Cricetulus griseus: one gene and its partners. The protein of the gene in region 1 purifies or fractionates together with the protein of each later gene. This does not show direct contact. Links are inferred from orthologs where the notes say so. Each region holds a gene or a part of one and is shown in the gene's direction. Other genes may lie near its edges. The genes, in order: Eftud2, Phb, Znhit2, Cd2bp2, pre-mRNA-processing factor 6, Prpf3 and Eef1a1.

Evidence for each region.
Region 2: the proteins of Eftud2 (region 1) and Phb purify together in Homo sapiens (affinity purification with mass spectrometry; 3 studies listed by BioGRID, with this or other methods). This does not show direct contact. The link is inferred for Cricetulus griseus from reciprocal best matches to the Homo sapiens genes EFTUD2 and PHB1.
Region 3: the proteins of Eftud2 (region 1) and Znhit2 purify together in Homo sapiens (affinity purification with mass spectrometry; 4 studies listed by BioGRID and IntAct, with this or other methods). This does not show direct contact. The link is inferred for Cricetulus griseus from reciprocal best matches to the Homo sapiens genes EFTUD2 and ZNHIT2.
Region 4: the proteins of Eftud2 (region 1) and Cd2bp2 purify together in Homo sapiens (affinity purification with mass spectrometry; 7 studies listed by BioGRID and IntAct, counting the BioPlex papers as one, with this or other methods). This does not show direct contact. The link is inferred for Cricetulus griseus from reciprocal best matches to the Homo sapiens genes EFTUD2 and CD2BP2.
Region 5: the proteins of Eftud2 (region 1) and pre-mRNA-processing factor 6 purify together in Homo sapiens (affinity purification with mass spectrometry; 6 studies listed by BioGRID and IntAct, with this or other methods). This does not show direct contact. The link is inferred for Cricetulus griseus from reciprocal best matches to the Homo sapiens genes EFTUD2 and PRPF6.
Region 6: the proteins of Eftud2 (region 1) and Prpf3 purify together in Homo sapiens (affinity purification with mass spectrometry; 3 studies listed by BioGRID and IntAct, with this or other methods). This does not show direct contact. The link is inferred for Cricetulus griseus from reciprocal best matches to the Homo sapiens genes EFTUD2 and PRPF3.
Region 7: the proteins of Eftud2 (region 1) and Eef1a1 fractionate together in Homo sapiens (co-fractionation; 4 studies listed by BioGRID, with this or other methods). This does not show direct contact. The link is inferred for Cricetulus griseus from reciprocal best matches to the Homo sapiens genes EFTUD2 and EEF1A1.

What each region holds. Positions count from the first base shown.
Region 1 is NC_048600.1:115,257,214-115,260,713, forward strand, and holds part of Eftud2 (116 kDa U5 small nuclear ribonucleoprotein component), read left to right. Parts: intron 1-240; coding exon 241-306; intron 307-1,019; coding exon 1,020-1,055; intron 1,056-1,721; coding exon 1,722-1,812; intron 1,813-2,607; coding exon 2,608-2,690; intron 2,691-3,500. UniProt on the Homo sapiens protein: Required for pre-mRNA splicing as component of the spliceosome, including pre-catalytic, catalytic and post-catalytic spliceosomal complexes. Component of the U5 snRNP and the U4/U6-U5 tri-snRNP complex, a building block of the spliceosome.
Region 2 is NC_048600.1:108,826,563-108,830,811, forward strand, and holds the start of Phb (prohibitin), read left to right. Parts: upstream 1-1,449; 5' UTR 1,450-1,540; exon of another isoform or gene 1,541-1,638; intron 1,639-1,945; exon of another isoform or gene 1,946-2,019; intron 2,020-2,566; 5' UTR 2,567-2,593; coding exon 2,594-2,681; intron 2,682-4,249.
Region 3 is NC_048596.1:53,289,625-53,293,012, reverse strand, and holds Znhit2 (zinc finger HIT domain-containing protein 2), read left to right. Parts: upstream 1-1,411; 5' UTR 1,412-1,647; coding exon 1,648-2,844; 3' UTR 2,845-2,888; downstream 2,889-3,388. UniProt on the Homo sapiens protein: May act as a bridging factor mediating the interaction between the R2TP/Prefoldin-like (R2TP/PFDL) complex and U5 small nuclear ribonucleoprotein (U5 snRNP).
Region 4 is NC_048596.1:73,578,484-73,582,435, forward strand, and holds the start of Cd2bp2 (CD2 antigen cytoplasmic tail-binding protein 2), read left to right. Parts: upstream 1-1,152; 5' UTR 1,153-1,307; intron 1,308-1,760; exon of another isoform or gene 1,761-1,766; 5' UTR 1,767-1,789; coding exon 1,790-1,867; intron 1,868-2,062; coding exon 2,063-2,198; intron 2,199-2,314; coding exon 2,315-2,472; intron 2,473-2,574; coding exon 2,575-3,010; intron 3,011-3,088; coding exon 3,089-3,195; intron 3,196-3,273; coding exon 3,274-3,384; 3' UTR 3,385-3,952. UniProt on the Homo sapiens protein: Involved in pre-mRNA splicing as component of the U5 snRNP complex that is involved in spliceosome assembly.
Region 5 is NC_048599.1:292,795-296,294, reverse strand, and holds part of pre-mRNA-processing factor 6, read left to right. Parts: intron 1-1,970; coding exon 1,971-2,065; intron 2,066-2,408; coding exon 2,409-2,565; intron 2,566-3,474; coding exon 3,475-3,500. UniProt on the Homo sapiens protein: Involved in pre-mRNA splicing as component of the U4/U6-U5 tri-snRNP complex, one of the building blocks of the spliceosome.
Region 6 is NW_023276806.1:60,675,367-60,677,923, forward strand, and holds the end of Prpf3 (U4/U6 small nuclear ribonucleoprotein Prp3), read left to right. Parts: intron 1-487; coding exon 488-549; intron 550-1,706; coding exon 1,707-1,853; 3' UTR 1,854-2,057; downstream 2,058-2,557. UniProt on the Homo sapiens protein: Plays a role in pre-mRNA splicing as component of the U4/U6-U5 tri-snRNP complex that is involved in spliceosome assembly, and as component of the precatalytic spliceosome (spliceosome B complex).
Region 7 is NC_048597.1:189,545,580-189,549,695, reverse strand, and holds the start of Eef1a1 (elongation factor 1-alpha 1), read left to right. Parts: upstream 1-1,316; 5' UTR 1,317-1,349; intron 1,350-2,293; 5' UTR 2,294-2,327; coding exon 2,328-2,471; intron 2,472-2,582; coding exon 2,583-2,762; intron 2,763-2,841; coding exon 2,842-3,138; intron 3,139-3,221; coding exon 3,222-3,372; intron 3,373-3,456; coding exon 3,457-3,713; intron 3,714-3,800; coding exon 3,801-4,035; intron 4,036-4,116. UniProt on the Homo sapiens protein: Translation elongation factor that catalyzes the GTP-dependent binding of aminoacyl-tRNA (aa-tRNA) to the A-site of ribosomes during the elongation phase of protein synthesis.

The sequences.
Region 1 (3,500 bases):
AGCCTTACTCTGGTTTTTATAACCTTTTATTTCCTGAGGGAGGTCTTCCCAAGAAAGGTTTCATCTTTCATTGAAAAATAATCTTGTGGCTTCTGTGTTAATCCTTTGCTGTCCCATAATCCTCTTTGTTTTCCTCTTCTTCCCTTCATGCCTGAATTACATGGTGTGTTGGGGGCTTTGGAAAGGGGGCATAGATTTTCCTCTGTAATTGGCAGGTCTCACCCATCTCTTCTCTTTCAGACGTGTTTTGTAGATTGCTTGATAGAACAGACTCATCCGGAAATCAGAAAACGCTATGACCAAGATGTGAGTGGAACTTGGGCCGAGCTGTTTGGGGTGGAGGGGATGCCTCACTCCTTCCCTTCCTTCACCCTGCACTCATAACCAGTGTGTGCAGACTGCTGCTGTGTGATTATACTTTATTAATAGGTGTAAGCACATCATTTCGACTTTCTCAGGAGCACAGAGAATATTAACCTGCAGTTATTTTAGATGAACTGTTTCGCATTTGGGATCCCGCCTCAGTGATGTATCCTGACTTTTATAGTCTCTTCTTTCCTGTCGTTTTATTAATAGCCTGTTCTATAAATATCATACAATTGGACCTTGTTGTTTTCATGGTAAATTTAAATGCCTGTGAACAAGGCCAACAGTGGCGGCTAGTCTCAGTGCAATAAATGTTCAGACTCTGTCAGATTGACTGTTGTGACATGTGAGACTTGACTGTTGGAACGAATCTCCCTTTTCCACTCTTTCAGATCCAGTGCAGTGCGTCTAGCTTATGTCTCCAGCCATGCATGGTCTTTAGTGACCGCTCACCCTACTCCCACCCCTGCACACATGCAAGAACATTTTCTGTCTTGAGGGGCACTGGCCTCACTGTCAGGAATTACTGTGGGAACAGCCTGCTGTCTTCAGTAGGGTTTCCCCTTGGGAAGCCCCTTGAGTTGGGAGGAGGTGAGGGAAGGTGATTGATGGAAGTCTGAATTCGGGTTGTAACAGCACTGAATTTTTTTCAGCTGTGCTATACTGACATCCTCTTCACAGAGCAAGAGGTAAGGTGCCTTGGGAAATTAGATTTTGCTTACAAAGGCCCACCACCATAGTTTTGTAGAGAATGTGGGGGGAGGACTCCCATAGCACTCCCATTTAGCCTTGCCCAACAGTTCTGCAGCTCTCAGTCACCCCATAACGAGAACTGGGAGGGCCAGCTGGAGCACAGGTGGGGAGCCTTCCAGTCCTTGAGTAGATTTAATTTTGCCTAATAAGACATACTGAGAGATGGTGTCCAAATTTGCAAAACTCTACATGATCTTTACAACATCCTGACAATCCCTAAGATGCCTACTGTGTGCATCTCCTTCCTGGAGAGGCTTCTCTGTGGACAGCTTGTGGGACCATTGTGATTCTTTCCTTCTGGGTTTCCCTTCCTCCTCATCACCTCTTCTCTTCCCCTCCTTTTTTTTTTTTTTTTTTTTTTTTTTTTTTTTTTTTTTATCTATCCTCTTTTCCCTCTTCAAAGCAAGTTCCAGGACAGCCAGGGCTATTCGTTACACAGAGAAACCCTGTCTAGAACCACCCCCCACCCCACCCCCCCAAAAAAGGAATTAAACTTGTTACAAGGAGAGACATCATTGTAGTTAACCAGCAATTGGCAAACCCCAAGAGCTGGGTGAATTCTTCTGTACGGGAAGAAGCCTTGACCAGTGTCTACCTTTCAGAGAGGTGTTGGCATCAAGAGCACTCCGGTGACGGTGGTGCTGCCGGATACCAAAGGGAAGTCTTACCTCTTCAACATCATGGACACACCAGGTGGGACAGCCAGGGCCCTTCGCTGTCACATCCTGTCTCATTTCCTGTTGTGTTCCTTTCCCAAAGCAATACAGAGTGGGACATCTTGACTTTGTACTCTCTTCACCTTTGTTGAGTTTTCTTTTCAAGGATTCCCACTTTGACAAATTACCAAGCATGATCCCTATCCTTTGATTTCACTTCTGTTTTTACTTTTCTATGGAATTTTCAATTTTAGGGATCCTGTGTGTTGATTGATTTTAGTTTATGTCAGACCCCATCTGACATAAATCAACCTCATCGCAGGCCTTCAGCATGCTCAGTCTTCTAGAAAGCGGGCAGTGAGCACCAGGGTGCAGTGAGCCTTGCTGCTGGCTCGCTCTTTTATGGAAAGGGCTGACTTAACACAAAGTTGTTTTATTTAACATGTGGGCAATTTGGAGTTTAGCAGATTTGCCTTCAGGACACCGTCTTGTGCCAGGGCCTGATACTCTCAAGCCCCTGCTCACCCTGTCCCCCAATAGCACCATGCTCTGGGCCTTTCCCTGCCTCCAGAGAGTCATAGCTCTTGCAGAACTCTGTTGATTGCTGATCAAACTAAGTTGGTGTGTCAGCTGCTTTACCTTCTCTGTGTGGAGACCTGTGTGTGAAACCTTAATCCCAGGTTGAGACTCTAATGGGAGAAATGGATACGCTGCAAGGTGCTGTGGACTGAGGAGGAATATTTGGGTTCACAGACTTTGCAGTGCTCCTCAGGTCATCCTGCAGGTTAACTGCCTCATACCCCTAAGTGATGACTGGATATTTGCTTTTCAGGACACGTGAATTTTTCTGATGAGGTCACAGCTGGCTTGCGAATCTCAGATGGGGTGGTCCTTTTCATTGATGCTGCTGAGGGGGTAAGTTAGTCCCCTGTTACTATGCCCCTACATATCACTCAAATTGCCATGTGAGCTAGGAGGCAGCAAACATGAAGGTCTGTGTGATAAATCTCAGGTTTGCTCTAAATTTAGGGAAGCAAGTGATGCTCAAAATTAGAGATGGGAGTTGAAATTCTTTTATATTTCTAAACTGAAAAAATTGGGTAATGCCACTAACTTTATATAGTCACCAGTGTCACCAGCAGAGGGAGTCAGAGGCACCTTTTTAAAAACCTCAAGCTCAGTTAAACACAGGTACAATCTGCTCACTGTTAACTGTTCATGATGTTTCTCTGTACCCAGAGATGTGCTCTCCTATGTATAAAAGTATTCACAGACCTTTGCTTTCTTTCTGTTGTGTTTTGTAATGAGATGAGATCTTACTCGGCCTGGCTCTGTTTGTTAAGGCACTTGGTGCCAGCCTGGTGACAGGAGTTCAGTCTTGAACCCACACATGATAGAAGCAGAGAACCGGCTTCCAAAAGTTGTCCTCTGACCTCCACACCACCACATTATGTAAACACTTCCACATACATAAAAATAAGTAAATAAATGTGATTTTTAAAGTTAAAAAGAGGCAGGGGTGGCACATGCCTTTAATCCTCGCACTCAGGAAGCAGAGGCAGGTGGATCTCTGAGTTCCAGGCTAGCCTGGTCTACAGAAGTTCCAGGACAGCAGGAACTACACAGAGAAACTCTTGTCTTGAGGGAAAAAATAAAAAGAAGAAGAAATCTCATTATGTAGCCCAGGTTGACCTGGAACTCAGAGATCTGCCTGCCTCTGCCTCC
Region 2 (4,249 bases), about 6.4 Mb from region 1:
AACTCACACAGTGGAAGGAGAGAACCAACTCCTGTAGGTTATCTTCTGACCTCCACAGGTACACTGTGGCCACACACATATGCACACTCAAATCAATAAATCAATGTCTGCATTTTTATTTTATGGACATAGGTGTTTTGCTTGCATGCATGTCTGTGTACTACTTACGTGCCTGGTACCTCCAGAGGCCAAAGAAGGCGTTAGACCCCCCAAACTGGAGTTATAGACAGCTGTGGGCTGCCATGTAGGTGCTGGGAATTGAACCCAAGAGCTTTGGAAAAGCAGCCAGTGCTCTTAACCCCTGAGCCATCTCTCCAACTCCATAAATGTATTTTTTTAAACTCCATTTTGCTATTTCCAATTGGAGATGTAAAAATGGGGCTAGAAAGACGTTTGTTTTCAGTAAGTACTCAATGAGTGTTTATTGAATAGGTGTAATGCAGTCTCTTCCTTCCAGCCAAATAATCCTCCTCCATTTCTGCCTGCCTCTGCCTCCTGAGTGCTGGGATTAAAGGCACATGCCACCATGCCCAGCTTGTTTCATGTCTTTTATGTTTGTGTGTATATACACATATTCTCTTAAGAGTTGTGTATTTACACAGCAACATGTCCATGGGAAATAAACACAGCACTTCATTTCAGATTTTATCGAAGCGTGGAGAGGAATTCTATAAAAGTCGCTATTTGCTCAATTGACAAAATCGGAGTACAGACGTGGATTACATTTACTCAAGTAAGAGGGTGTCCTTGTATTTAGAGAGCAGTAGGAGAGAGAAGAGGGGAGCACAGGGAGAAGAAAGTGCTGGGAAGAGAGAGGGACAACAAAAGTAACAACAAATGCGTCTTGACAACAGGTGAGCTTAATAGGTATACATGTACATGTTCTCCGTCCCATTCTTTCAATTTCTCAAGTACAACTTTTAAAAGGTGGAGACAGGAGAGTTAGACCCTAAGTCAAGTCCTTTTGCTGGAGTAGTGCAAGACCTGAATGAGTCTCTTCTTTCTAAGCCGTTTCTAAGGTCCCGAAGCGGTTCTGGAGATCCAAGTCTCACGCCCCTGAGGCCGTCCTTAGCTTCCCTAGGAGTTTCCCAGCCCATCAGTTATCCCACCTCACCTTTTTCCAAAACGCCCACCCAGTTACTTCCGCCACCAGGTGGAAGCCCAGCTCCTCTCAGATCCAGCCCGTACCTCTCTTCTAACAGCAATCACCTCGTTACGAACTACGCACGTGCACTTATTACCAAGGAACTGCAACCCCCGAAAGGCTTTGCGGCAACATCCCATCATCAGTTGCCACCAAACGGAAGCAGGTTTCCTGCTCAGGCCCGCTGCTGCATAACCTTTTGGGAGTTGTAGTTGACCTCAGGAAAGCAACAGGGCCCGCGGAAGACTGCAAACCACGCTTCCCAGGATGCGTTGCGCTCCGCTCCACCAATTGAAGGGACGGATCTTGAAGAGGGCGGGGGAAAGGGAGGAGCTGCCTGGCGCACGCGCAGTATGCGAGTCTGGGGAATTCATGTGGAGGTCAGCGTGAAAGCGGGTGAGCGTGGAAGGGGTGGTGCAGGCCGCTGTTTGTGTGTCCCTGTAATCCTCCTTTGCTCTCCTGGGTGCGGTGGGGGTCATGGAATGCACGTGAGGGTACGCCTAACGGAGAAGGGGGGAAAGGCTGAGTCCAGAACGATCCATGGGTTGTGCAAGGGGAGGGGGCGGGATAAGGAAAAATCCAGAAGCCAGTAGAAAATAGAAAGGACTGGGTGTCTTAGTGTCAGGGGTGGAGGGTAAATGTGCGCGGAGAAAACGGGATAGACTCTCAGTTGAGTTCTGGGGAAAGGGAGGGAGGATTTGAAGAGTGCACCGAGGGCGACGCAGGGGCGGGGCATGAAAAAGTTCAAGGCTGAGTGGTTTCTAGTCTGTCAGCTACGTGCTCCCACCCACCCACCCGCCGCCGCAGCCCCACCTCCAGGCCTTCGCTGCCCTGCCTCACTGCACCCCTGCCAGCTCCCGCTTTCCGATTAACAGGTATGGGGAGGAGTTTTACAATGCCTTCTAGAATTCAGTCTCCTCATTCCAACCCTGGTTCCATACGAATAGTGTACCCTCTCCATGCACCTCACCAGTAATGCTTTTCATAAAGAAACTGAAGGTTAAATAAAACCGTTGGAGGCTGCCTAACTTAAATGTTAACAGGAATTGTCCTTTTCGTTGTTGGCATAACCCTTGTAGTACATTACTGGCTTTTCCAAAACCAAATGCACAGAGCCAGCCATACACAGTCTCTTGTGGCCTATTTGGCTAGGAAATGGGAGTGTGGTTTACTGTGGTACTAAGTTCTCTGTGGGTACGACACATCGTTCCTACGATGAGCCAAGTGTCCCAGACGCCTACAAAAGCAAACGAGATACTACATTTGCAAGATGTTGAGTGTCACGGGGTGTTCGGTGAGTTAAGTTAGAGCTCACAGGAGTAGATCCATGAAGATTTATCGTGAAAAGTGAATGCTGTGCCCCAGAGAGGGCTTTCTCCGAGGATTTCGTGTCAAGTTGTTTTATTTTTACCCCTTGTTTAGGTGTGAGTGGGTGCAACAGAAGGAATTATGGCTGCCAAAGTGTTTGAGTCCATCGGAAAGTTCGGCCTGGCTTTAGCAGTTGCAGGAGGCGTGGTGAACTCTGCCTTATATAATGGTGAGCGGGTGGTGCTTTCTGTTGATCTGCACAGCCAATTGAAATTCCTAACGGCTAGCTCTGTCTGAAGGTGTGTGTGGTGAAGTGGGCTCACCTGCTGTTACCCCACAAACTATGGTTGTGTGTAATCAGAGGCCCGGCCTTCATGTAGGCAGTGGTTCTCAACCTTCCTAGTGCTGTGACCCTTTAATACGCTTTCCTCATGTTGTGATGACCCCCAACCATAAAATTAAATTTGTTACTACTTCATAACTGCAATTTGGCTATTATGAATCTACTACTTAATAGTGTAACAGAATATGTAAAAATCTGTATTTTCTGATAGTCTTGGGTGAACCCTGTGAAAGAGTCAACCCCGCCCCCCAGGGCTCAGGTTGAGAGCTGATGACTTAGATCCTTTGCTCAAGAGGAGCCTTCCTGTCCAGTTGCTGGCTGGATGTTTCTAGAACTTTAGCCAGTTTGAAGTGATGCTCTGTTACCCAGATGCCTCTGCAGAGCAGCCCAGCAGGATCTCATTGGTTATCTTCTGCTGCATGTGGGGTGAAATAATTTGGCAAATTCTCTCAGCTTGAGAGACCTTGTCCTGAGAAAGAAGGTTTTGCTCAGCTAGTTGCAGAGAAAGTAATTTTTTGAGATGCATTACTGGGTTTTCTTTGTATTATATTGCCTTATAGGCAAGTCCCTCCTCCTAGTCCTCTGCTTTTACATTGGTCAAACAATGGGACTGAACTAGTTCTCTTAAGATTCCCTCCAACTTTGATACTCTTTCAGAATTCCAACAAATTTTATATACTTTCTGTATGGTTTGTTGCTTTTTTTTTTTTTTGAGACAGAATCTTACCATGTAGCTCTTGACTGGCCTGGAACTCTATGTAGATTAAGGTGGTCTAGAACTCACAGAGATCCACCTGCCCCTGCCTCCTGAGTGCTGGGATTAAAAGTGTGCTCCTCTGTACCCAGCTCAAATGCAGTATAGTGGCTTAAGCAACTCAGAGCTGCATCCTGCTGATTTGTTTTTTAAGACTATGTCTCCTGTAGCCACGTTTGTCCTTGAACTCCTGAACTTCTTGCTTCTGCCTATATGACTTTTGAATGAGTATTATTATCAGACTGTAAGTTTTTAGGCCAATTCTCAATTCAAATATGAAAAGAGGCAAAGTAGCTACTTTAGCCAGGTTCTGGTGGCAGACTCCTGTGACCCCAGTACTCGTGAGGCTGAGGTATAAGGATCTTGAGTTCCAGGCCCACCTGGGCTACATAGTGAGACCTTGTCTGAAAAAGTCAAAGACGAAAGGGAGGGATCTGCTTGGCTCATGAGTTATAACTTGATGTCATAGTTTGTGTAGCTTCATCTATACAGCTAGACTAGTCAGCATTTTAAAATTTCTCTCTGAGTCCACAGGACATGTTGTTGGACCCCCTCCAAAAGTTAGAGAAACAGCTATTAGAAAGATGCTGGGTAAACTGGCCATAGTGGTGTTTACCTTACCAGCACTCTGAGGCAGAGGCAGAGTTTGAGGTTAGGTTGGTCTACATAGTGAGTTCCAGGACAGCCAGAGCTACATAGT
Region 3 (3,388 bases), on another chromosome or scaffold:
TGTTTTGGAGAGGCAATGATTAAAGGGAGGGGAGGCCTTGGTTAGAAGGTGAATCGGTTTTTACTGAATTTGGGACCAGCTGTACTATCAATAAAAGTTCAAAACACGGGCTGGAGAGATGGCTCAGAGGTTAAGAGCACTGACTGCTCTTCCAGAGGTCATGAGTTCAATTCCCAGCAACCACATGGTGGCTCACAACCAAACCTTATGAGATTTGGTGCCCTCTTTTGGTGTGCAGATATACATGGAAGCAGAATGTTTTATACATAATAAATAAAATCTTAAAAAAAAAAAGTTCAAAACACAAGGAGCATCGGGTCCCTCGGCATTGGAATTGTCTGATTGCACTGGCATCCTGATCTTGTCTGGCTGAACTTGATCACAACTGTGACTGAGAAGCTGATTAAATGGTTCCACCCTTAGCACCAGGCTTCCACTACACCCAGATCCCATTGCATCTTGGAATGCACCAAGGAGTAAGGCCAAAGAATAGTTGGACACTCCATTCCATTTAAGCTTTGTGAGAGATACTGGTCAAACTGTAAAATGCGCTGCAACCAGTGTCTAACCCATTGTAGACTCTGAATAGTGACTGTCTCAGACTCATTGTTTAGCCATTAGCTTTTTACTATAGTGGGTGTGGGTATTCCCACATTCTTGTTAGGACAGCATTCAGGAGTGTACCAGGGATTTGGAGGCAAATGGTTTTTATTAAGCCCAGGCTAGTTTTGGACTCTTAATATTCCTTTCCCAGCCTCCCAAATGTTACTAGACTACCACATGCTGTGTAGACTACCACACTTGGCCTGAGCAGTGCTTAAGGGTCAAATTCCCAACTCAGGTTCTTTGTAGAGGAAAAGTATGAAACTATGTAGTTTGCGATCCATGCATAGTGGCACATACCATTAATCCCAGTTCTGAGAGGAAGAGGCTAGCCTAGCCTGGTTTACAGCGCTAGTTCTAGGAAAGCCAAGGCTACACAAACCTCTGGTGGCAGTCAGGGGTTGGGTGGGGATGGGTGGCACAAAACAAATACTAGGAATTGAATTTCAATCCAACTTGGAGGTTGGGCTGCCCCAGTTTGTTATATTGATATGTTAAGTATCTTCGGGGCTTCTCTGTGGCTTCGGAGGCTGTCCTGGAACCTGCTCTTCAGATTCTTTGTCATGCCTGGTTTATGATTTGGTTCTTGTAGGGTTTTTATTATTTTGGGGGTATTTTCAAGACAGGGTCTTACTGTAGCTCTGACTATTCTGGAACTCACTGGGTAGACCTGAAACTCAGAAATCGCCCTGCCTCTGGGGACCTGGTGCGGGGATTAAATTAAAGGCGTGTGTCGCTACACCCCTAAGATTCTGGATTTTTTTTGTTGGTTGGTTTTGCTTAAAAGGTAGTTTATTTTTGCACAATTTGGTAAAACCACAGGGAACAAGCTGGGATCAGCGACATTAATCTTCTAACTCTCGAGAGCCACCGTGTTGGTTAGACCTTGGGCGTGTTCTGCGCATGCTCAAAAGGCTACTCTAGAGACGGAAGTTACCGAGAAGGTACGTCGCCCCACGCACAAAGGCGGAAATAACCGAAGAAGCACCGGAAGTGGCGGAGCTACGTCTGCTGTGTGGTGCCCGACACGCGGCGCCAGTTGCCATGGAGCCCGTAGGGCTCTGCGGCTTCTGCCCAGGCGGGGAAGCTTTGCCGGCGCGCTACACCTGCCCGCGCTGCAACGCGCCCTACTGCTCGCTGCGCTGCTACCGGGCGCATGGCTCCTGCGCCGAAGACTTCTACCGCGACCAGGTGCTGCGAGAGCTCCGCGGCCGGAGTGCCTCTCCCAGCCGTCTGGCGGGAGCACTACGCCGGCTACGCGAACAACGGGAGACCGAGGATGAGCCCGAGGAAATAGGCCTCAGGCCCGGCCCGCGGCCGAACGGCCTTTCTGGACTCTGGGAAAGCTTGTCACCGGCTGAGAAGGCGGCGTTCGAGCGGCTGCTGAGCCGTGGCGATGCTGGACGCCTTCTGCCCCCGTGGAGACCCTGGTGGTGGGGCCGCGGGGGTGGCCCGCGATTTATGGAGGAGTTGGATCGTGCCCCGGGCAGGGATCTTTCGGAGCCGGAGACCGCCCCAGAGAGCACCGCGCCCGAATCTGTGGATGATGCCGCCGCGGTGCCTCTTGCTGAAGACTCAAATGCCGCCGTGCCGCCCGCAGTGCCCTCCCGTATCCCAGCGCTGGCCAGCCTGAGCCGCTGCCCGCCCTCGCCACTCGTGCGATTCCAGCTGCCCAATGTGCTGTTCGCCTACGCTCACACTCTCGCCCTGTATCATGGAGGGGACGACGACGCTCTACTCTCTGATTTCTGTGCCACACTGCTCGATGTTTCTGGAGCCCTGGGCGCCCAGCAAGTCTTTGACTCTACGGAGGAAGCCCTGCAGGCCGCAGCCCACGTGCTGGAAGCGGGTGAACACCCACCTGGGCCCTTGGGTACGCGGGGTGCTATGCAAGAGGTTGCTCGTATTCTGCTGGGCGAGGGTCCTATCAACCAGAAAGGCTACACGCTGACAGCACTGGGGCACCTGGCCCAAACCCTGGGCCGAGCCCGGAAACAGGCTGTGGTTAGCGAAGAACGAAATCGCCTTTACCGGGCTCGGAAGAAGTGCCAGTTCCTCCTAGCCTGGACCAACGAAAATGAGGTTGCTCTCACACCACTGGCTCTAGACTGTGCCAGGGTCCACCGAGCCCATGCTGTCACAGCCGAGGAGATGGCAACCCTTACTGGGGAGCTGGAGCGGCTTTGGGGAGGCCCGGTACCACCTGCTCCAAGGACTCTCATTGAGGAGCTCCCTGGCTGAGCTGGGTGTGTGGTATTAATAAAGCTGTCACTGGTCTGTCCAAATGTTGGCAGTACCTTTATTTTCTTCAAAGACAGTACCCTATCCTAGACTTTCCTTGAAGTCACTGTGTAGCTGATGACCTTGAACTTCTGAGCCGAGCCTGCCTCTACCTTGACAGTGCTGGGATTACAAGTGTTAAGTCACCTTGCTAATTTATGCAGTGCTGAAGGTCAAAGGCTTCTTGAATGCTAAGCAAGCATTCTATATAACAACTACATCCCCCAGGCCTGAAGTGCCCATTTCTGAGAGAAACCAGTTGTTCCACGAAGCTACCCTGGACACACAAACCACTTCCCTAGTACAGCTTCCCTAGTCAGCTAGTTCTCTACCTCTCTCCCCCAAATCACTGACCCCAGAATAGAAGAAAAACAAGATTGAAAACATTTATCCAGCAGGGAAAAGTATTTTCATATGGGAGCAGTGGTTCCCTCTTCTTGCGTCAGACTCTGAGGCTGGTCATCCCTGCCAAGTAGAATGGGGTGCAGGCCCTTCACCCCACATG
Region 4 (3,952 bases), on another chromosome or scaffold:
CTGGGATGCACCATAGTGCCCAGAGCTGGTGTTTCAGGCATTCTGTAGCAAGATGCCCTCCTGGGCTAGGACCTGTGTTCTGTGCCCGTGGAAGAAACTGAGGACACAATTCCAAGTTTCATGGTGATTCAGAATGGAGAAAATCCTGCAAGAGAAAGGTGTGGTCCATCTGGCCGCCCTCATCCAGCTCTTGCAGGATCACCTGAGCTATCTAGCCTGGGGGGGAGGTGTTCTGGCTTTGAGTTGTTCTCAAGAGCTCCAGATCTAGACTTCACTAGACAGGAAGATCTCACCTGGCTCCACCTCTGCAGGAGCGGGATTCCATCACCTTAGCATTTTGCTGAGGGGTGGGGTAGACTTCACCTTGCAACTGGATGTACCCCAGAGTAGGGCATTATGGGCTTCTGGCTGGGTACTGCTCGGATGCCAATGCTACTTCCTGTTATAGTTCCCCTGCAGAAAGAAGGAATTGAATGGGAACAGACATGGGGCTGGGTCCTAAAAGGAGCTAGATTTGGAAAGTGCCTAAGTATTGACAGCCAGAAACAGGACTCAGGAAAAGCAAGAATTTTTTTTTTTTTTTTTAAAGAGACATCTCACGTTGTATCCCCGATTGGCCTCAATCTCGCGACAATCAGTCCTGCTTATTTCCCGAGCGCTGGGACTGTGTCAAGCTTGGAAAGCAGGGTTTCTATTGAATTCCGTTGGGCGCAAAGAGCCCTATATAGAGAGTCAGACTGGAGCCCACAGCTTCTGCTCGGCCTTTGTCCCTCCATCCAGGACTTGGGAACCTCTTTTTTTTTTTGGTTTTTGAGGCAAGGTTTCTCTTTGTGACTTTGGAGGCTGTCCTGGAACTAGCTCTGTAGACCAGGCTGGTTTCGAACTCACAGAGATCTGCCTGCCTCTGTCTCCCGAGTGCTGGGATTAAAGGCGTGCGCCACCACCGCCCGGCCTTCAGCACCTCTTTAAGCAGACAGAGCGTCACGTCCTCACCTGAGTCTCCATTTCAGAGGAATAACAAACACTTGCCGCCATCCTCAAGCTAAGTAAGGCTGGGGCTGGTATAGGAGTTCACGCGAGTCTTTTGGGGTCTTACGTCACTTCCTGCGGAGACTGTCTTGACCAAATGTACACATCCGCCCGTTCCGACAGTCTTTTGGATGGGAGTGAAGCAGCTTCCGGCCTTATGGAGGTCTCCACAGTCTCCTTCCGGGTTATGGAGGCGAGTGCCCCGGATGTAATACTGGCGAAAGCATCTTTCCTTTCTTTCCCCGCCTGACCCCGGGCTCCTCGGTGAGCGCCAGCCGGTAAGACTGTTCGAATCCCTGCGAATTTGCTTCCTCTCTAATTTGTGCGCCGACTCTGACATGGTCTAGCAGCTCGCTGCGTGGAACTGGGGGTCCTAAGCAACCAGGGCGCCAGCTCTTGGGTCCGACCGGCCTCTGTGGGCACTCGGGTGGGAGCTGGGGGAGCCCTGTAGCTCCGCACTGGTAGGGGAGTGGTGACGTAGGGGAGCCTGGCTTTTTTTCCTGCGTGGGAGTACGCACAGGGTCCGCGCGGGGGCGGAGATCCGCCCGTCAGGGCCTCTGAATGAATTGCCAAACCAATTCCCGACGACCCGCCTGCTAGCGCTTGAGATGGTTCAGTGACCCTTCCTCGCTCAAACGGGACCTGGCGCTTACCAAGGAAAATGTGGTGCCACAGCGCTCTCGCGGCCGGCTCTCCTTACCTAATTTTCTTACTCCGTATCCTTTTCCGAGGTCCAGCTGGAGGAAGTGTTCTGCCAGTCATGCCAAAGAGGAAAGTGACTTTTCAAGGTGTGGGAGATGAGGATGATGAAGATGAAATCAGTGTCCCCAAAAAGAAGGTGAGATGGTCAGACTCCTAATGTCTGTGGAGGACTGAGGAGAAATAAAAGGAAGGAAAGCTGAGAAGCGAAAGAAAGGGTTAGTTTGCCCCGGTGCGCTGGGTTTGGTAGGTTTTCAGTTTGGATACAGATCCTGGAATATTTGGGAAGCTCGCCAGTAGGTTGCCTTTCTCATTTGCTGGTTTCTACTCACAGCTGGTGGACCCTGTGGCTGGAGCAGGGGGTCCTGGGAGCCGCTTCAAAGGCAAACACTCTTTAGACAGTGATGAGGAGGATGATGATGATGAAGGGTCCAGCAAGTATGATATCCTGGCCTCAGAGGATGTAGAAGGTGAGTTATTCCCAAAACATTAGCTGTGTTGGAGGGCAAGTCTGATTATGGAGGTGGGAAGTGTGCCTGTCTCTTTTTTGCATGCCTAGCATGGGGCCCCCATGTCTTTGGTGCAGGTCAGGAAGCAGCTACTCTCCCTAGTGAGGGGGGTGTGAGGATCACACCCTTCAACCTGCAGGAAGAGATGGAGGAAGGCCACTTTGATGCTGATGGCAACTACTTCCTGAACCAGGATGCACAGATCCGAGACAGCTGGCTGGACAACATTGACTGGGTGTGGCCCAGGAGCTGTCCTGGCTGAGGCCTGGGAATGCAGGTGCTGGGCCTGGGCCCTGGTGGAAGTTTGTAGGAAATAATAATTATCTTTCCCTTATAGGTGAAGATCAAGGAGCGGCCACCTGATAAGCACCAGGTTTCAGACTCAGAGGAGGAAGACAGCCTGGGTCAGACTCCGATGAGTGCCCAAGCCCTCCTGGAGGGACTTTTGGAGCTGCTGTTGCCAAGAGAGACAGTGGCTGGGGCACTTAGGCGTTTGGGGGCCCGAGGAGGAGGCAAAGGGGACAGCAAGGGGACTGGACGGCCCAATTCCCCACAGCGCCTAGACCGGCTCTCTGGGTTGGCTGATCAAATGGTGGCTCGAGGCAACCTTGGTGTATACCAGGAAACAAGGGAACGATTGGCTATGTGTCTGAAGGGTTTGGGGTGTCGGACTCAGGGATCCCATGACCCCACACCTCCACCCTCCCTGGACATGTTTGCTGACGAAGTGACAGAGGGAGAACTGGAAACCCCGACCCCTGCGCATAAAGGAGGTAAGCTTTTAGGACACAGGAGAGGCAATGCCAGTGGGAGACTGGGCACTTAAGGCCGATACGTCTTTGTTGTCTTAGAAGCAGAGTCAGCGGGAGATGGTCTAATGGATGTGATGTGGGAATATAAGTGGGAGAACACGGGGGATGCTGAGCTGTATGGACCATTCACCAGTGCCCAGATGCAGGTCAGTGGCTTCCTCCTGTCTTGTCTGTCCATCCCGACTTCTGTCATCTTTCCTAAGTTTTGTCCTCTCTTCTTACAGACCTGGGTGACTGAAGGCTACTTCCCGGATGGTGTTTATTGCCGGAAGCTGGACCCTCCAGGTGGTCAGTTCTACAATTCCAAGCGCATTGATTTTGATCTCTACACGTGAACCTGCTAAGGGCCCAGTGTGGTAGCCCCTTTTTCTTGGACTTGGCAGAGGAGGCCCCAGCTGCCCTGGGCAGTGAGGATCTTGGAAGCTACTCTTCAGCCACTTTCCCTTTCCCAATAAAAGCCTTGAGTGTGCATCAGGGCCTTGATGTGCTGGTAGCCAGAAGCCAGGGCTCCTCCGTAGCTCCTGTTGGCTTACCTGGCCCTTGAGTGTCTCCTCCTTCCTTAGATGCTTCTCTCTGGTGTCTTGGACCACCTCGGTTTGTTTTCCGCCCTTGGTGGCAGTAGTAGGGCCCGTCAGGTGTCCTGTGACTTGCCATGTCAAATTCCCTTCAATCACTCTATTCTCCTATCTCCCCTGCAAGTCCTTGTTTTGCTGATCTTCAGCTTTTAGGACCTCAGATTCTCTGGCCTAGTAACCCCTTTGCAGCTGGGACATTTGGAAAAGTTTGAGATCCTATTGAGAACACTCAGGAGGCCTCTTAAACATGGGTTCTCCTCTTCTCCCTAGTCTGATTTTTCCTTCCCTTGCAGTAGCTCCCATAGCTCTTAGGTGAAGCATGAACTTA
Region 5 (3,500 bases), on another chromosome or scaffold:
CCTCTGCCTCTGCCTCTGCCTCCCGAGTGCTGTGATTAAAGGCGTGCGCCACCAACGCCCGGCTCCAAACTAGTTCTTATAACTTAAAGTAACCCATATCTTTAATCTACATTCTTTTATGTGGCTCAGTTACCTTTACTCTGTACTGCCCATCCTGCTTCTTTTGTGTCTGGCTGGTGACTCTGCCTTTCTTCTTCTCCCGAGACCTCTATGTCCCCAGAAGTCCCTCCTAACATGTTTTCCTGCTTAGCTATTGGCCATTCCGTTCTTTATTAAACCAATCAGAAGGTGCTTTAGCAAAGACACATCTTCTCAGTGTATAAAACGATTATTTCATAACATTGGAAAGACATTTTTTTTTTTTGTTTTGTTTTCTTTTTCTTTTTCTTTTTCGAGACAGGGTTTCTCTGTATTGCTTTGGAGCCTGTCCTGGAACTCACTCTGTAGACCAGGCTGGCTTCGAACTCAGATCTGCCTGCCTCTGTCTCCTGAGTGCTGGGATTAAAGGTGTATGCCACCAACACCTGGCTGGAAAGACATTTTTATTATATATGTCTACTTGAGTTTTTTTCCTGGGACTTTTGGGATCTCTTTGCGTCTTCGTTACTTTTCTATTGGTGTTATAAAACGCCATGACCCTGGCAACCTATAAAAGAAAGCATTTAATTTGGCTTGTGATTTCAGAGTGTGTAATATGCTTTCTTTTGGGCCATCAACCAGCTCCCAAATCATGATGTGAAGACTGGTTTTTATGATTGCTTGGCTTTATTTTAGCTCTGTTTTTATCTGTTTCTCTTTATCTACATTTTACCTTTCATTCTGTATATCTTACTTTCCTGTTTCCTCTTTGTCTGTCTGTCTGGCAGCTGCCTGACTTCTGGACCTGGGCATTCCCCTCTCTTTCTCCCTTGTTCTCTCCTCCTCTTGAGCTTAGATTTCTCCTCCTACATATTCTCTCTGCCTGACAGCACTGCCTGTCCCTCTTCTGTCTGGTTATTGGCTGTTCAGCTTTTTATTAGACCAATCAGGAGCCTTAGGCAGGCAAGGTGAAACAGCAACACATCTTTACATAATTAAACAAATACACCATAACAAAAGTAATACATCTTTGCCTACTTAAAGTAATGTTCCACAACATAAATAAATGTAACACATCTTTACATAGTTAAAGTAACTATTCCATATCAAGAGTGTTAAGAGCAGCCAGGCGGTGGTGGCGCATGCCTTTAGTCCCAGCACTCAGGAGGCAGAGGCAGGTGGATCTCTGTGAGTTCGAGACCAGCTTGGACTAGTTCCAGGACAGCCTCCAAAGCCACAGAGAAACCCTGTCTCAAAAAAGAGTGTTAAGTGTCCATGATGGTGGAGTGAAGGAACAGCTTAGAGCTCAAATTCTTGATCCACAACCACATGCCAGAGAGAGAGGCACACTGAGAATGGTACAAGTCTTTTTTGTTTTTTTGTTTTTCAAGATGGTTTCCTCTGTTATGTAGCTTTGGCTGTCCTGGAACTTGCTCTGTAGACCAGGCTGACCTCGAACTCTGCTTGCCTCTGCTTCCCAAGTGCTGGAATTAAAGGCATATGCCACCATTGTCTTATTGGCACAAGTCTTTTGAAACCTCAAAGCCCACCTCCAGTGGCCTGCCAACAAAACCATACCCCCTAATTCTCTCCAAATAGTTTCACCCACTGGGGACCAGCTATTCACACATGAGTCTATGGAAGCCATTCTTCTTCAATCCTATACCTCCCCCCAAATATTAATCCTTGTAGAAGATTTCTACACTTTCCCCATAGAAGACATTTTCCTAACCACCGACCGTTGTCTGAGTTACAATAAGATTGTTTTCCTCCTGGCTGCTTATTCTTGGACACATTTGTTAGGAAGGTCTCCAGGGTCCTTGTTAATTAATTCTTTGTTGTAGACACTGATGGTCATGTCTAGCTGATGTTCACTTTTACCTATCTCACAGGTGTCTGACTCAGTGAGTGGGCAAACTGTTGTGGACCCCAAAGGCTATCTGACAGATCTAAATTCTATGATCCCAACCCACGGAGGGGACATAAAGTGAGTATGTTGCAGAATTGGTCTGTTGAAATGGGAGCTCTAATTGCTTAGTATGTTGTGGAATTTAAAAAAAAGAAATACGCAGTCAAAATATGACATGGACTTTCTGAGAATTATAGGAATATATTTTTACTCATTTGCTGTGTGTGTGTGTTAAATATTTTACAAATAATATCTTAAGGTCAGTGCCTGTGATGAGCTTAGAAAGCTGCTTGTTAATTGTCTCATGTTTCCTGATTCTTAGCAATTTATGCCTTGTGTCTGAAGGGGGTGCCTTCTCCCTGGTTCTTGTCACATCTCTAGTAGTGTGGCCTAATTTTTTTGTGCCTTCTCATTGTTACAGTGACATTAAGAAGGCACGGCTACTTCTCAAATCTGTTAGAGAAACAAACCCTCATCACCCACCAGCTTGGATTGCATCAGCTCGCCTGGAAGAAGTCACTGGAAAGCTACAAGTGGCTCGGAATCTTATTATGAAGGGGACAGAGATGTGCCCCAAGGTGAAGCCTATAGCATATTTCTCTTAACAGCTACATGATTTCTGGCTTCCAGAAAATCCTTTGTGTTCTGCCAGGCGTGGTATACTGGAGAAATGGAGCAAGAGCAAGGTTGTAAATAGAGGGAAAGGAGTTTCTTGCTTGTTTTTATATGGAACAGAGACTGACCCACCATTGTAATGGCAGGGTAAGCTTCACTGAAAGTGATAAACTGAGCAGCTTGTTACATCACATAATAAAAGAAACCTAGAGGTTGAAGCAGGAGATGCCTCAGCAGTTGAAAGCACTGGCTGCTTTTCTAGAAGACCTGAGTTTGATTTCCAGCAGCTACATGGCAGCTCACAACTGTCTATAACTCTAGTTCCAGGGGATCTGATGCCCTATTCTAGATATGAATGCAGGCAAAACACCTATATACATGAAATAAAAATAAGTAAATTGGAAAAAAAAACTTACAGGTTAGTGCTAGCTCTTAATATATTCCAGCACTTGTGTTTTGGGAGGTGGGATGATTAGACAAGATTAAAAAGTACTATGAAACCAAGTAAACGTCAAATGCTCTACTGTATGGACTAGATATTCCTGAGAGTGAAAGAAACCCTTTGTGGAATTCTCCGAACGTTATGCATAAATCAGAACTTCCCAGGCAGACATAGGGTCTTTGCTTTTTCCAAAGACTTTGCCTACTGTAAATTGTATTTTTGTTTGTTTGTTTTTGTTTGTGAAGGATTATGTTTGTCTTTCATCCTGACATGGTAGCCACATTTCTGAGCTGTGTAATTACCGGGTGAACTCTCATAAGTATGTATTTATGGCCACGTTGATGATCCTTACAAAATTTGGGGGCCCCAGAGTAACCTATGTCTTCCTTATGGTTTCCAGGCTGTTCTTACTGCTTTTTTTTTGTCCCAGAGTGAAGATGTCTGGCTAGAAGCAGC
Region 6 (2,557 bases), on another chromosome or scaffold:
ATGTTTAATGCCCTGGGCATTGGGCTGTGGGGTGGGGATGGAGTGGTGAAGAAAGAAAAGATGTTTAGTAAGGCATGACTGTTGAAGCTTGTAATCCCAGCACTCAGTAGACTGCATCAGGAGGATGGTCTCAAATTGAAGACCTGCTAAAGCTACAGAGTTAGACACCCTATCTTTTAGAAAAAGAAAAAAAAAGCCAGGTGGTGGTGGTACTCTTCTTTAATCCCATTGAGTTCCAGCATGGTCTACAGAGTGAGTTCCAGGACAGCCATGACAGTTACACAGAAAAACCCTGTCTTAAAAACCAAAAAAAAATAAAATTAAAAAAAAAAAAGAACAGAGCCAGGTGGTGTTGGCACTCTCCTTTAATCCCAGTACTTGAGAGGCAGATGTAGGTGATCTCTGTCAGTTGGAGGCCAGCCTGGTCTATATAGTGAAATCTGTCTCAACAAACAAAAGAAAGATTGAGCTCTTCTGTCTTTTCCAGATGATGAGGAATCTGATGAAGAAGCTGTGAAGAAAACTAACAAATGTGTACTAGTATGGGAGGTTGGTAATCTTTATAAAATGCTGAAATAGAAAGTTAGCTGGAATATTTAGAGCAATTTGTAGTACATACCAACTGGAAATGTTTTAAAAAGTGCTGATGTTAAGAATACAAATTCTCAATTGGAAATTACATATTTCCAAGCCTGAATGTGAGAGGGGAGTAAATTTTATTTTCCCCCTCTGGGTGTAGTAAAACATAGGGCTAGATCTAAGAATCTGATGGTGGATGGGTGTGTAGCCTGGGAGTGTAGCTCAGTGACAAGAGTGCTTCTCTAATATTCATTGGAATCCAGAGTTTGACCCTCAGCTCTGCAGCAAAACAAATAGGTTGCTGACAGAGTGTCAGTCAGCTATTCGATCTGAGTCAGACAGATTCCTTTGCCTTATCTATTAAATATGGGTGTTATTCAGTCTCCCTGATTTGTTGGTGTGATTGAGAATGAATTAAAACAGGCCCAAATCCAACTCCCTACACTCACATTGGGGGTGCTTACAACCTCCTGCTGGGAAAGAGTGCTGAAGGCTAGTAATATTACTCAGTATAGACTCAGTATATGACTGACAACACCAGTTCAATCCTTAATACTCACGGGGGGGGGGGGGGATGTTTTAGTTCTGGTTCTAAAAACAGTAACAATAACAAAAAAAACCAGAAATCCATATGTCTAATCATGCAAATATCTATAAGATGGGGTTATAATTATCAGAGAATCATGTCAGTGAGTCATTTTGCTACACACATGTTATCAGGTCTCTCAAAAGAATATTATGTCAGTACACCTTGAATCCCGGAATCCCAGTGCCCAGGGGCAAAGGCAGGGAAAATCTCTAAGTTCAAGGCATGCCTGGTCTACAAGTTCCAGGACAGCCAAGGCTACACAGAGAAAATATGTTTCAAAGAAAAAAAAAACAAAAAACTATGTCTTGTTTAAGTAAGTTGAAGTGGTGGAGTGCTTTCCTAACATGAGTAAGTCTCTAAGTTCAATTCCCAACACTGGAATTGGGGGATAGTTAGAAAGCTTACTAAAATTCTTGTCTCTCCTCAGCATGATGGTGTATTAGGATGCTGAGGTAGGATTTGTAATTCAAGGGCAATGTGGCCTAATAACAAGTTATTGCTTTCAAGTAAGTAAACAAAGTTTTTTCTTCTTACCTAGGGTACGGCCAAAGACCGGAGCTTTGGAGAGATGAAGTTTAAACAGTGCCCTACAGAGAACATGGCTCGTGAGCATTTCAAAAAGCATGGGGCTGAACACTACTGGGACCTTGCACTAAGTGAATCTGTGTTGGAGTCTACTGACTGAGACTACTGCTAGCCCTGTGTCTCCTTGGCCTTTTTTTCCTCTGCCTTCTCACTCTACTTTCCAACCTGTCCCCCCTTGCGAGTGTGATCTCAGAACTGTGCCAGGCAGTCATTGGGGCAAAGAGACTACCTTGTTTACCCAGTCAGCCTGGTGCTACCCTTCATCCTGTATGTGCATATGATTAAAGAGTTATTTTTAAACTTAGTGTGATGTTTTTCATATAGCAATAGGTATTAGGGTTTAGTTCTGTGGGTGATATTCTTTTTACCTAGGATCCCAGCAGTTGAAGTCTTTAAATATCTGACCTCATCCTGAAGCACAATGATAAGTACAGTTTTCTGAAGCAAGTAAATCAGAAGGTGATATTAAGCAATTATGAGATGAATGATAAAATACTTTTTTTTGTTTTGTTTTTAGAGACAGGGTTTCTCTGTATAGCTTTGGAGCCTATCCTGGTACTCGCTCTGGAGACCAGGCTGGCCTCGAACTCAAACAGATCCGCCTGTCTCTGCCTCCCGAGTGCTGGGATTAAAGGTGTGAGCCACCAACAGCCGGCTGTAATTTTATGTTTTGACTATTCATGTCACTACATGCTGCACGCCCAAGGAGGACAGTAGACAGCACTGGAATTAAGACAGCTGTGAGCTGACATGTAGGTGTTGGAATTGAACCTGGGTCTGCCACAAAAGCAGACAGTGCTCTTA
Region 7 (4,116 bases), on another chromosome or scaffold:
ATCTCCACAACCCCATATTCCATTACAAAATACCTTTTCACCGTCCCTAGCATTAAGAAACAAAACAACAAAGAAGTTTTTCTTTCTTCTGAGATCCTGCCCGGAGAGGCATTTAAAACTGGCCAGGGCCAAAAAAAAAAAAAAAAAAAAAGAAAAAAAAGAAAAGAAAACAGGCTAGGGCCGGCATGGTGGCGCACGCCTTTAATCCCAGCACGCAGGAGGCAGAGGCAGGGCGGATCTCTGTGAGTTTGAGGTCAGCCTGGTCTACCTAGTGAGTTTCAGGGCACCCAGGGCTAAAGAGACTGTCTCAAAAACAAAACAGCCACACAATCAGAACCACAGCAAAACGCAGTTATGATCCTTGGAACTGTAGGAATGACAAGCATTTAAATAATAGGACGAGCCATTTTTGAGAAGCTCTGATTTCACAAGTGTCAGGGATGGGCTCTGGGCGAGTAAGATTGCTAATGCTGGCCTCTAAATGAGACCACGTGGAGTTGATTAGATTCTTTTCATGTTCCTCGTGCTCTATCAAATAACTGTACCCAAATACACACACACACACACACACACACAATGCGCGCACACACAAAATCCTTTTTTAGCTTAAGAAGCCCAGAATCAGAAGTAAAGCTAACTGTGGGACTTAAGTATTATTCTGAACGGAACTCCCAGGGCGTGAAGCGCGCTTCAGGCTTCCAGAGAAGCAGCTGGCGCTGGATGGAATGAACCAAGAGGCCAGCACAGGGGCAGATCCGTCGAGCTCTCGGCCACCGAGCTGAGCCCTTAGGTTCTGGGGCTGGGAAGGGTCCCTAGGATTGTGCACCTCTCCCGCGGGGGACAAGCAGGGGGATGGCGGGGCTGACGTCGGGAGGTGGCCTCCACGGGAAGGGACACCCGGATCTCGACACAGCCTTGGCAGTGGAGTCAGGAAGGGTAGGGACAGATTCTGGACGCCCTCTTGGCCAGCTCCTCACCGCCCCACCCCCGACTGGAGCCGAGAGTAATTCATACAAAAGGAGGGATCGCCTTCGCCCCTGGGAATCCCAGGGACCGTCGCTAAATTCTGGCCGGCCTCCCAGCCCGGAACCGCTGTGCCCGCCCAGCGCGGCGGGAGGAGCCTGCGCCTAGGGCGGATCGCGGGTCGGCGGGAGAGCACAAGCCCACAGTCCCCGGCGGTGGGGGAGGGGCGCGCTGAGCGGGGGCCCGGGAGCCAGCGCGGGGCAAACTGGGAAAGTGGTGTCGTGTGCTGGCTCCGCCCTCTTCCCGAGGGTGGGGGAGAACGGTATAAAAGTGCGGTAGTCGCGTTGGACGTTCTTTTTCGCAACGGGTTTGCCGTCAGAACGCAGGTGAGTGGCGGGTGTGGCCTCCGCGGGCCCGGGCTCCCTCCTTTGAGCGGGGTCGGGCCGCCGTGCGGGTGTCGTCGGCCGGGCTTCTCTGCGAGCGTTCCCGCCCTGGATGGCGGGCTGTGCGGGAGGGCGAGGGGGGGAGGCCTGGCGGCGGCCCCGGAGCCTCGCCTCGTGTCGGGCGTGAGGCCTAGCGTGGCTTCCGCCCCGCCGCGTGCCACCGCGGCCGCGCTTTGCTGTCTGCCCGGCTGCCCTCGATTGCCTGCCCGCGGCCCGGGCCAACAAAGGGAGGGCGTGGAGCTGGCTGGTAGGGAGCCCCGTAGTCCGCATGTCGGGCAGGGAGAGCGGCAGCAGTCGGGGGGGGGACCGGGCCCGCCCGTCCCGCAGCACATGTCCGACGCCGCCTGGACGGGTAGCGGCCTGTGTCCTGATAAGGCGGCCGGGCGGTGGGTTTTAGATGCCGGGTTCAGGTGGCCCCGGGTCCCGGCCCGGTCTGGCCAGTACCCCGTAGTGGCTTAGCTCCGAGGAGGGCGAGGCCCGCCCGCCCGGCACCAGTTGCGTGCGCGGAAAGATGGCCGCTCCCGGGCCCTGTAGCAAGGAGCTCAAAATGGAGGACGCGGCAGCCCGGCGGAGCGGGGCGGGTGAGTCACCCACACAAAGGAAGAGGGCCTTGCCCCTCGCCGGCCGCTGCTTCCTGTGACCCCGTGGTGTACCGGCCGCACTTCAGTCACCCCGGGCGCTCTTTCGGAGCACCGCTGGCCTCCGCTGGGGGAGGGGATCTGTCTAATGGCGTTGGAGTTTGCTCACATTTGGTGGGTGGAGACTGTAGCCAGGCCAGCCTGGCCATGGAAGTAATTCTTGGAATTTGCCCATTTTGAGTTTGGAGCGAAGCTGATTGACAAAGCTGCTTAGCCGTTCAAAGGTATTCTTCGAACTTTTTTTTTAAGGTGTTGTGAAAACCACCGCTAATTCAAATCCAACATGGGAAAGGAAAAGACTCATATCAACATCGTTGTCATTGGACACGTAGATTCAGGCAAGTCCACCACAACCGGCCACCTGATCTACAAATGTGGTGGAATCGACAAACGAACCATCGAAAAGTTTGAGAAGGAGGCTGCCGAGGCAAGTATTCGAAGGGAAAAGGTCGGGGGGGGTGGAAATCTACCGTAAGCAGGAAATTGTTTATTTAGAAACTAGATGTTTTGAGTGTACTAACTGCGAATCACTGAACAGATGGGAAAAGGCTCCTTCAAGTATGCCTGGGTCTTGGACAAACTGAAAGCTGAGCGTGAGCGTGGTATCACTATTGACATCTCCCTGTGGAAATTTGAGACCAGCAAATACTATGTGACCATCATTGATGCCCCAGGACACAGAGACTTTATTAAAAACATGATTACTGGCACTTCTCAGGTTTGTGAAATTTACTACCTTCTGACCCTTACCTCCAGCTGGAAAGCTTTGTTATTAACGGGAGGTAACTTTTTCTTAGGCTGACTGTGCTGTCCTGATTGTTGCTGCTGGTGTTGGTGAATTTGAGGCTGGTATCTCCAAGAATGGGCAGACCCGTGAGCATGCCCTTCTGGCTTACACCCTGGGTGTGAAACAGCTAATTGTTGGTGTTAACAAAATGGATTCCACCGAGCCACCTTACAGCCAGAAGAGATACGAGGAAATTGTGAAGGAAGTCAGCACCTACATTAAGAAAATTGGCTACAACCCTGACACAGTAGCATTTGTGCCAATTTCTGGTTGGAATGGTGACAACATGCTGGAGCCTAGTGCTAATGTAAGTGACTTGAAGAAGGTGGTTAAATGGAAAAGCTGTAAGGGGGGAGAGATTATAAAACATTTGGCTACTCTGCATTTCAGATGCCTTGGTTCAAGGGATGGAAAGTCACCCGTAAAGATGGCAGTGCCAGTGGTACCACACTGCTGGAAGCTTTGGATTGTATCCTGCCACCAACTCGTCCCACTGACAAGCCACTGCGACTGCCCCTCCAGGATGTCTATAAAATTGGTGGTAAGTAGAGCATTCGGACACTGGACTAAGATGTTTTGAGGTGTGTTCAGTTGTCTTCACCTTATATACTGTAAATGTTTTTAGGTATTGGGACTGTTCCTGTGGGCCGAGTAGAGACTGGTGTTTTAAAACCTGGAATGGTGGTTACCTTTGCTCCAGTCAACGTTACAACAGAAGTAAAGTCTGTTGAAATGCACCATGAAGCTTTGAGTGAAGCTCTTCCTGGAGACAATGTGGGCTTCAATGTAAAGAACGTGTCTGTCAAAGATGTCAGACGTGGCAACGTTGCTGGTGACAGCAAAAATGACCCACCAATGGAAGCAGCCGGCTTCACTGCTCAGGTAAACAAGATAGGTGTCAAGAGTGTAATATTGATAGCAGCATGCAAAACCTGAAGGCAAGATTTAACCAAATGCTGTTTCTTTCAGGTGATTATCCTGAACCATCCAGGCCAAATTAGTGCTGGCTATGCTCCTGTACTGGATTGTCACACAGCTCACATAGCATGCAAGTTTGCTGAGCTTAAGGAGAAGATTGATCGCCGTTCTGGTAAGAAGCTGGAAGATGGCCCTAAATTCTTGAAATCTGGTGATGCAGCCATCGTTGATATGGTTCCTGGCAAGCCCATGTGTGTTGAGAGCTTCTCTGACTATCCTCCACTGGGTAAGTAGAACTTAAGTTTCTGTTGCACTGAGTATTGTTTGGATATGAAATGCTGTATGAACAAGTGCTCATAACTGTTTC